2 linked regions of the Cricetulus griseus genome follow. The protein of the gene in region 2 purifies or fractionates together with the protein of the main gene of each other region. This does not show direct contact. Links are inferred from orthologs where the notes say so. Each region holds a gene or a part of one and is shown on either strand. Other genes may lie near its edges. The genes, in order: Hars1 and G6pd.

Region 1 (4,417 bases), on a different chromosome or scaffold from region 2:
TCCACAATCAATAGTAATCCCTTAATACTATCCAATACCAAGTGTGTTCAACTTTCCCCAATTATCTCACTAATATCTTTTTATGATTATCTTAACCATATTCTAAACATATTATATTTAGAGGACATGTCAATTTAATCACAAACAGCTTTCTCATTTTTCCTTTTTTTCTTCTTTTGTGTTGTCTGGTTTAGATCCCAGGCCTTATAACACTGAGCCACACTCTTATTCCTGTCCCTCTATGTTATTTATTTGTTGAAAAAACTGGATAATTTGTCCTAAAAAGTTTTTCACATTCTGGACTCAGTCAACAATACTACTGATATGCCATTTAACCTGTTCTCTACTTTGCATAGCTCCACCTTAGTCTGAAGGCCTTAATAGATTCAAATTCCCCTAACAAGAACTCATCGACAGTGATGTGTACTTTTTATGGTATCATATCAACAGAAACATGTCTGTTCTTCTGCTTTATTGACACAGAGACATTAAGCCCCCCCCAGCAATTATTGATTATTATTTCTTTAATGCCATGTGTGTGGTTGTCCTTGGAGGCCAGCTGGTATTAGAGAAGTGTGAGCTGCTATATGTGGGTGCTGAGAACCTAGCTCAGGTTTCTAGATGACCACCAACAAGCACCCTTAATACTGAGCCATCTCTCCAGCCCCCATTTCTTTGAGATTTTTAAATTTCTCTTCAACCTTTGAAAAAGAATTATGTGGGATGTGTGGGTGGTAGAACATGCCTGTAATTCTAGCACCTGTTAGGTGGAGACCTGAGGATCAGAATTTCAAAACCAACCTCTGTTATATAGCAAGTCTGAGGCTGGCCAGACTTGCGGTTTTTTTTTTTGTTTGTTTTTTTTTGTTTTTTTTTTTATGCATAGAAAAGCACAGCTTAAATGAATTTGGCTGAAAGAATTAACCTCAACACAGAAGAATTAATCATACCAGCCATCTCCACCCCTCCCCCACCTTTTGGACACAAGGCCTTATTTTCTTACCAGGTAGTCCTCACTGACCTGGAACTTGTACACCGAAGTCTGTCCTGACTTCGGTCCCTAGCACCTAGGCTGGGCAGCTTATAACTGCCTGTAACTCCAGCTGCCCCCTCACACAAGGACACACAGGCCCACATAGCCAGAGCTTCGTAGAGATACCCTGTCTCAATATAATAAAATCTCAGATTGAAGCTATTGAATAAAGTAGAAAATGGGGAGTTTGTGATAGATCAGCCCTTCTTTATTTAAACACAATGATCTGTCTTAACATCACTAAACTCATAGATATCTGCCTGTCTCTGCTTACTGGGTACTGGGATTAAAGAATGTGTATCACCACACATGGCTTCTCTCTTCTTTGAAAATCAACTTAAAATATATTCATTAGATAAATGTTTATTTCTAGGCACTCAGTCTTAGCTTCTGCTAAACAAACTTCATGAACCACTAAAAAGTTGTTGCAGAGGTCAGGAGTGATGGCTTAGCAAGTAAGCACACTCGATGCTCTTCCAGAGGACATTAGTTCAATTTTCGGTACTATGGCTCACAACTGCCTGTAACTCCAGCTTCAGGGAATCTGACATCCTCTCCTGGCTTCTGCAGTTACACACACACACACACACACACACACACACACACACACACACACACTAAGTGAAAATTAAAAATCAGTGCAATGACAGAGCTATCTATATATGAAGTGCCAAGAGAAACCAATGAAGGTGCAGTGTTCTGTTTATAGAACTTACAGAACAGCATCAGAACTGAAGCTCTGAGGCTGAGCTCAGCATCTCTGACCTTATTTGGTTCTATTTGTGCAGGTCTTCTTCTGGTTCCTAGTAAATATCAAAGCTCTTTTCTGCTTCAGGGTTTCCATACTCTACTGAGCCTATTATCCTAAGTCTTTCCCTGGCTATGTCCTACCCACTTGAGAGGTACATCAGTATATCACTTTCTTAAGTGTGGCTTCTCAGATTCCCCAGCTACCCCTTATTTTTCTCAGAGCATCTCTGTAACTTTCTTTTTAAAAGTTTCTTTATTACTTTTATACATGTGGGTGTATGTGTATCTATGTTATGATTATAGGTGAACGTATGTTATGTGAACGTATAGGTGTAGGTGCCTACTGAGGCCAGAGGCATCAGATCCCCCTGGAGTTGGAGTTACAGACAATTGTGAGTCACCTGATGTAGGTGCAGGGACTCAAATTTGAATTCTCTGCACTCCCCTAACTGCCGAGCCATCTCTCCAGCCATAACGTTCTTCATATCACCAGTTATATTTTGTAATTGCATAGCCCTGGGTGGAATTATTGTCTTAAATATCTGTCTCAGTGGGATCAAGCATCACAAAGACAGGCGTCCAGTATGGTATATATTCAATGTACAGTACCACACACACAGACCTACTCAATGTGTATGTAATGAATGCAATGAGTAGCAGTTAGCAGGCTGACTCCGCTGAGCCGCCTTGTTTCTGTCATCACCGAATGACTCAGGTTGAGATCAATCCAGCCCAGTGCCTACACCAACTACTGACTCCTTTGCAATATTACCGATTGTGAACAGGACCTCCCTCTAAGGCCTCTCACAGGAATAGTTTACCTTGGGGGTTTTGAGCACAAACTTCTGTTTGCCTTCATCATGGCCCAGCTGTGCCTTCAGTTTTAGGAGTTTCGCCACCTCCTCCTCGATCTGTGGAGGGAAAAACGCCACTGCATTGTCCATTTGTCACTCCCCTCCCTCCTACTCGACACTCCTCTCTCTTAGGTCTAGCCTCGCTTCTCTCGGGACCCACCCTGGCTACCTTCTCGAACTCAGCCCCTTTCATTCTACCAGCCTAGTCTCTTCATTGACATGCCTGTCCTCCAGCCAGACCACCATCTGTGTTCCTCTGGTTTTGTCCGGCCCCTCTCCTTCCATCTGAGTCGCACCTGGTCAGCGGAGGCTTTCTGCTGTTTGAGGCCCCTCACATGCTCTCCCTGGAGTCGCACCAACTCCTCCAGCGCAGCACGATCTGCCATCCTGGCTGCCAAACGGAACAGCCTGCTGTCTAACCCCGCCTTGGTAGACCTAGCCTACGTTCGGATGACTTCCGGCTATCGAGTCACCGGCTTTCGTGCCTAGAACGTCTCTAGCGAGAGCACAAGCATTTCCGGTTCAGGGAGCGTGAGATATTTGGAGTTCATTTCCACCCCCTTCCCAACCCGGACTAACTCCGATCTCAGGTGTTTTCCAGAGCTGGTGCTAGGCTCTTCAGCTCTCTGTCGCCTTTCTGAGGTTGGGCTGGCCTCGTTCCCAGGCCATTGGCTCCTCTTCAGGAAGCCCGGTGTCCTGCTGCATGATGTCCCACCTGGGGCCCCTGCGCTGCGGCGCCTGGGCTGCGCTGCTCCGCCAGCCCCTGCGACCTCCGCGCGCTCTGTGCATCCGGGCCGCAGGCTGTCACAGCCAGGTGAGCCACCCTGAGCCGGCTCCGCCGATTCCCGGAGGAGCCCCCTGCCTGAAAACTTAGATTTGCAGCCTATATTGTATTGTTACAATTGGTTTTTACTTTTTAAAGGTCTGTTTCTTTTATGTGTATGGGTATTTTGCGTACCTGTATGTGTGCACTGCGTACGCGCCTCGTGTCAGCAGAGATCGGAAGTGGCGTCGGATCTCCTGAGACTGGAGTTACAGGCGGTGGTGAGCCACCATGTGGTTGCTGGTGATGAACCCAGATCCTCTAAAAGATCCGTATCTCCAGCCCTGAAATTGGTTTTTATTGATTAGCCACTTTGTACCTGCACTGAACTAAGAGTTTTGGATGCTTTTGTCATTTTGTTATTGGAGCACTCTCAGAGGTTGCGGGTTTTATCTCCATTTTTACAGTTGAGTAAGCGGAGACCACAGGATTAAATGACTTACAGGGATACAAAGCAACTAAATATTATAATGAGGTTTACTCTCAGTCATCTGAAATTCTTGAACATGTTAGAATTTGAGCCAGATCTATATAGTCTCCCAAGCCATAAATAAACTGAGTTAATACACATCAACAAATTTACCCTAAAATGAATCTCAGAGAAACATTTTCAGCGACAGTTGAATTTTGTAATTAGAATAAAGAGTTATGGACTTGAACTCACACTTCTCTTTAGGGACTCTCCAGAGTATGGAATTACCACCATTTGTATTTCTGGAAGCCTGATTCTTTTTTTTTTTTTTTTTTCCAAGTACATTTATCTATTAATGTGTGTGGGCATTGGTGTGCCATGGCACATTTCTGTTCTTTTCTTCACTTGTAGGGTATGGGGATTGAATTTAGGTGGTCACGATAAGTGTCTCGCACCATTACCCACAAGCCAATTTCACTAACACTGAGTTAGTGGCTGTCACCTCTCTCTGAAAGCAGATGCTTTTTACTGTCATGCTCAACAGG
Region 2 (4,510 bases):
TCTAGATCACACTGAGCTTGTTCCCAATTTAGAGGACAATTGCCCTCTAATCCTCAACCAGCCTTGCTTTCTAGGTCCACTTGGGACCTGTGTGCTGCAGGGGTCTTAGTACACAAGAGACCATTTGTGACTTCTGTCACATACAGCTGCCTAAAATCCTGTTGGTTTGCTTGCTCCCAAAAGACACTGTCCCCATGAGGCTAGGGACTGAGGCTGTTGTGGATTGGAGGAGACACTTGATTGCTACATTGAATGAATGGAGAACTTGCAGGTATCCTAGATCAGCACTTTGCCTGCCTCATGCATTCAGTAAAGTGTCAGGCAAGAGATATTCTGGGGGCTGTCCCGGCACAGGGTCTATTTGTCTCAGGCCCTCTGAGAAGAACAGAGAAAAAAAAATGATGATCTTCAGCAAACTTCTCTTTCTTCCCCACTCCTTTCTGCTGGAGCTAGCAGTTCACATTTCTATTCTGGAAGCCTCAGTTCTCACTCCAGAGCAGAGGAGAGCAAAGGGGAACCATACCGATTGCAGTGAAATGAAGTTGCTCAATTTCAGGCTAGAACTCACATAATTAGTCTAGGATAAAGCCAGAGGCTGTCTGGCCCTTGTTTGTTAGATGAAGACTACTAATGTTCAGAGAAATGGAGACATTTGTTCCAGGTCACACAACAAGCTATCAATGAGGTATCTAAGAGTTCAGGTCTGCCAGTTGTAAACTATCTTTGATGTTTAGATTATTATTGTTGCAAGCTTATAAAAGCATGGGTGGGGCAGGGGAAATCATCCTTAGTTACTTTCTCTTCCAGGTGGTCATTTAGACTGAAGGACCTAATAGTCAGAGTCCTATATGCTAAGGTTTGTAGTTGATACATGTATGCATGGCTCCTTTAAGGGGACTAGGCTGGTGCTACGGCTGAGGGTAGGACTGCTGTACTGTGTGTTCCAACTGGGTACCTCTGTTGGGTCTTACAGTTATAGGGAGTTAGGGGACAGTGCCTTGGGGGTGTCTCTCCCTTGCCCTTTCAGTGGCTGAGCCCTTCTCCTCTGTTTCTGCATTCCTTTTCTAAGTTTTCTCACTCCACTTTTGCTCTGAAATACAAGGCTGACAAAGAACACGTCTGGCAAAGGGGGTGGCATGTTCTGATTTCCTCTTTTTTGATAGTACCGGGAATTGAACTTAGGGCCTCATGCATAAGAGCCTAGTACTTTACCACTGAGCTACAGCCCTAACCCTTAGTGGGTGGCAATGCTCTGTATGAACAAAGAACCACAGAGTTCACCCAGCACTGAGGGGCCCAAAGTGTGCAAGGTGCTGAGCTAGTAGTGGCTACCCTCTCAATAACACATTAGCTCTAGTGAAGTTCTTGCTCAAGGTTACACAATAAGTTAATAGTGAAGATGGTAACACGAGGGTGATCAGATTCTAGGGTTAAAAGCAAGCAATTGAGTTTACCTTTTCCACAAAACCCTGGTCACTGAACATGCCCTGCTTCCACAAAGCACATGAGAGGGTGCCCCACCTGCCCCAGTCTCACTGTGTACCATCATCACACCACCCCTCTGACTACGCTTCTGTTCTTCAGTTTTTCCTAACAGAGCATATTGGTAGTTGTTTTAGTTAGACAACTGGGAACCAGGTGGAATCAACAGAAATCTGCAGTAGGCTCTGGAAGATGTGGTAAAGAGTAGGTGTTTGCCTCCAGGGAACTTCATGCAATAGAGAGAAAAGAGGCAGAGGCAGGACCTCAGATCCTTTCACTGAAAGCAACTGTAACATTTGTCAAATTACAGATTTGGAAAACATATAGACTGAATAGCACTTCCTGGTTGCACCTCAGTTTTTTTTTTTCCATCCAGGAGGAAGAAGTTCAAGTAGATGGTGCTTTAGAACTTGCATGCTCCAAGTCTGGCCCACATTTAATGGCTGAACATAGATTTCTGAAAAGCCTTGCAAATGAGAAATTTGACAGAAGTACATGATGTACAGCAGGTACTGACTGCTGTGATGATCAGGACACACAGGTGGGAACATATGCCGTGAGTTCAAATTAGAACCTGTGTGGCCCCTTAGCAGTCAGTTGGGAAAGTTCAGGTAAAGAGAGAGAAGTGCCTTGCAAAATGCTACATTTGATTTTTTTACACTCAGGGCCTGAGGGGAGACTCACCGATGCACCCATGATGATAAATATATGTGTATCAGCTTGGTGGAAGGCATCACCCTGGTACAACTCTTCCCTCAGGATGCCACACACCTGGGTCCGGCTCAGGGCCACCTGCTCTGCCATGGTGTTTTCTGGTGGAAGAAAGACTCATTGATAAGGCAGGAGAACAGAAGAGCATTGACAACTTAACCTTATCAGAATCAGAAACTGCTGCTTCTGGGCTCCAGCCATATCCTATGTTGTCTTCTCTGGGGGCTGTACATTACGAAATCTCTATAAGCATTAATGGAATTCAGCTAGGGAATCCACTCTGGGAAAGCGACGCGGTCAGAGCATCGCACTGTGTCTGGGGCCATCGCACTCCAGTCTCTGCCAGAAACGCCACAATGAACTGAGCATCTTTTCATTGTGCAGATGATGGAGTTCAGCCCCAGCTCTCTGCTGGCCAAGCTAAATGATCCCAGAAAGACCCTTCTCTTCTAAAAGTCTAGTCCTCATGGGCCTAATGCGGGGAAGTGCGGGGTACAATGGGATGGGTTAAGACCTCGTAGATCTTTTTCCATATCCAAGCATAACAAATAGCGCTCATCAAAGGGACACGCGGCTCATAAGCGGGAAGCACATCCCTCCACCGGTGTGCTATCAGACCACCCCCTTTACCTGTGTTTAGTTGCTGCTGCCAAACAGGTTTACAGTTCTGGAGTGCACAGCTCGTTTCCGGGGGCTGCGCTTAGCTGGCTCGTTTAACGCAGGAGGGCGGGTGCTTTGACTGAGCTGACCCGCCTCAGGAGAGGCAGGAGAGGAGGAGCTTCGGACTACTCCATCGGTGAGGGAGGGGAGAGTAGCAGAAGTAGGTGCGCACGCATCCCTTGTCAGCCCCACCCTGTTGGCCGTCCCTGCTTTCCTGCTCCGCGATCGTGATGCTTTGCTGGCACAGATACAGCTCCGCACAGTTCTCCTGCGTCCCCATCGCTACCCCAGCCATACTTTATGGTCTGTTTTCCGATGGACCCTCGAGTCCCTGCGCACTCCTGGATGACCCCACTTCCGTTAGCAGCATAGCCACGCCTCCCCTTGCAATCGGTTTGGCGTCCTTTAGCAGCTTCTTCTAGGCTTTTTCCATGGTAGGGACCTGGTGGCAGAGAGCCCAGTGACAGAACCAGACTAAAACTGGGGTGTTTCATTGCGAATGCGACGCCTTGAAAATGGGGTGGGGACAACTGTGGGCGAGGTGACACACGCCTTTAATTCCAAGCACCCGGGAAGCAGAGGCAGGTAGATCTGGATAGCTAGGAGAGAGACCCTGTATCAAAAAAAAAAAAGTGTGTAAGTGTGTGTGTGTGTGAGTGTGTGTGTGATCTTTATCAGTGAAGAGCGTTGCGCTCTTCGGTTAGCCAATGCAGGCTGGCGGTCTGAGGCTTCTCTTCAGAGTGGGATGCAGCACTATTGTGGCTTCGCAGCTCCAGTTAATCTCCTCGACTTCGAGTCTGTGTTTTACTTCCGGATCCCACACTTACGACACCGGAAGCCGGAAGCAGGGGTTTCCACAGCCGAGAAGGGAAGGGTGACCGCCCAACCAGGACTTTCTGAGAGCTCCGATTCAATCTGAGAGGTCGGGTTCCGCTGCTCAGGCCCTCTTCACTTCTGGCCGACTCTGCTGACAGGTGTAGTCCTCTTCTCCAAAGATAGGGCTCCATCGGTGGCCATTATGCAGCTTCCGAGGCTCCTGAGCCCCCTTCCCCCCACCTTGGGCCCAGTTTGTTCTGTTGCATGCTTTCGAATGCTTTTTAGAGCATTTATTCAAGAAGTGCAGATTCGCGACCCAGCTTACTTGGACTGATTTCTGTCCTTCCCTCTGCTTATCTGTCGCCTAAGGGCTTGGCCCCAAGTGCTAGAACTCTTAGTTCACAGACATTTTTCTGTTGATGAAACTTTGTTTTCTGAAACAGCATCTCGAAATGTAGGCCAGGCAGACCACGAGCACAAGATTCTCCTGCCTCAGCTTTTTCAAGTGTACCGACTTTGCCTTTGTTTTTGAAGGGTTCACGATAAAAGGGAGAAACAGTCAAAGTTATCTTTGATGTAACTGGTCCCAGTGGGGTCAATTGATTGTAAAAGGCAAGGGAAGAAAGCATGGTGATCTGTAAAGAGATTATTGCAGTAATCCATGTGAAGGATGATAGTGCTGTCAGCCTTTTATTACTGAAAACTTTAAAAATGTACAAAAGTAGAAATATTAACATAGTAAGTTCCATGTACACATTTCTTAGTTGTCTCTATCAACTCATAGCTAACTTTAATTCACAGCCCTTACAGTACTCTACCATGATTTTTTTTCCTCTTTAGA

Evidence for each region.
Region 1: the proteins of G6pd (region 2) and Hars1 fractionate together in Homo sapiens (co-fractionation; 3 studies listed by BioGRID). This does not show direct contact. The link is inferred for Cricetulus griseus from reciprocal best matches to the Homo sapiens genes G6PD and HARS1.

Annotation. Positions count from the first base shown.
Region 1 is NC_048595.1:200,746,634-200,751,050, reverse strand, and holds the start of Hars1 (histidine--tRNA ligase, cytoplasmic), read right to left. Parts: upstream 3,095-4,417; 5' UTR 3,024-3,094; coding exon 2,934-3,023; intron 2,695-2,933; coding exon 2,605-2,694; intron 1-2,604. Other genes in the region: Hars2 (histidine--tRNA ligase, mitochondrial), read left to right, coding at 3,341-3,451. UniProt on the Homo sapiens protein: Catalyzes the ATP-dependent ligation of histidine to the 3'-end of its cognate tRNA, via the formation of an aminoacyl-adenylate intermediate (His-AMP). Plays a role in axon guidance.
Region 2 is NC_048604.1:1,291,940-1,296,449, reverse strand, and holds the start of G6pd (glucose-6-phosphate 1-dehydrogenase), read right to left. Parts: upstream 2,951-4,510; 5' UTR 2,824-2,950; intron 2,295-2,823; 5' UTR 2,287-2,294; coding exon 2,167-2,286; intron 1-2,166. Other genes in the region: Ikbkg (NF-kappa-B essential modulator), read left to right, coding at 3,154-3,156. UniProt on the Homo sapiens protein: Catalyzes the rate-limiting step of the oxidative pentose-phosphate pathway, which represents a route for the dissimilation of carbohydrates besides glycolysis.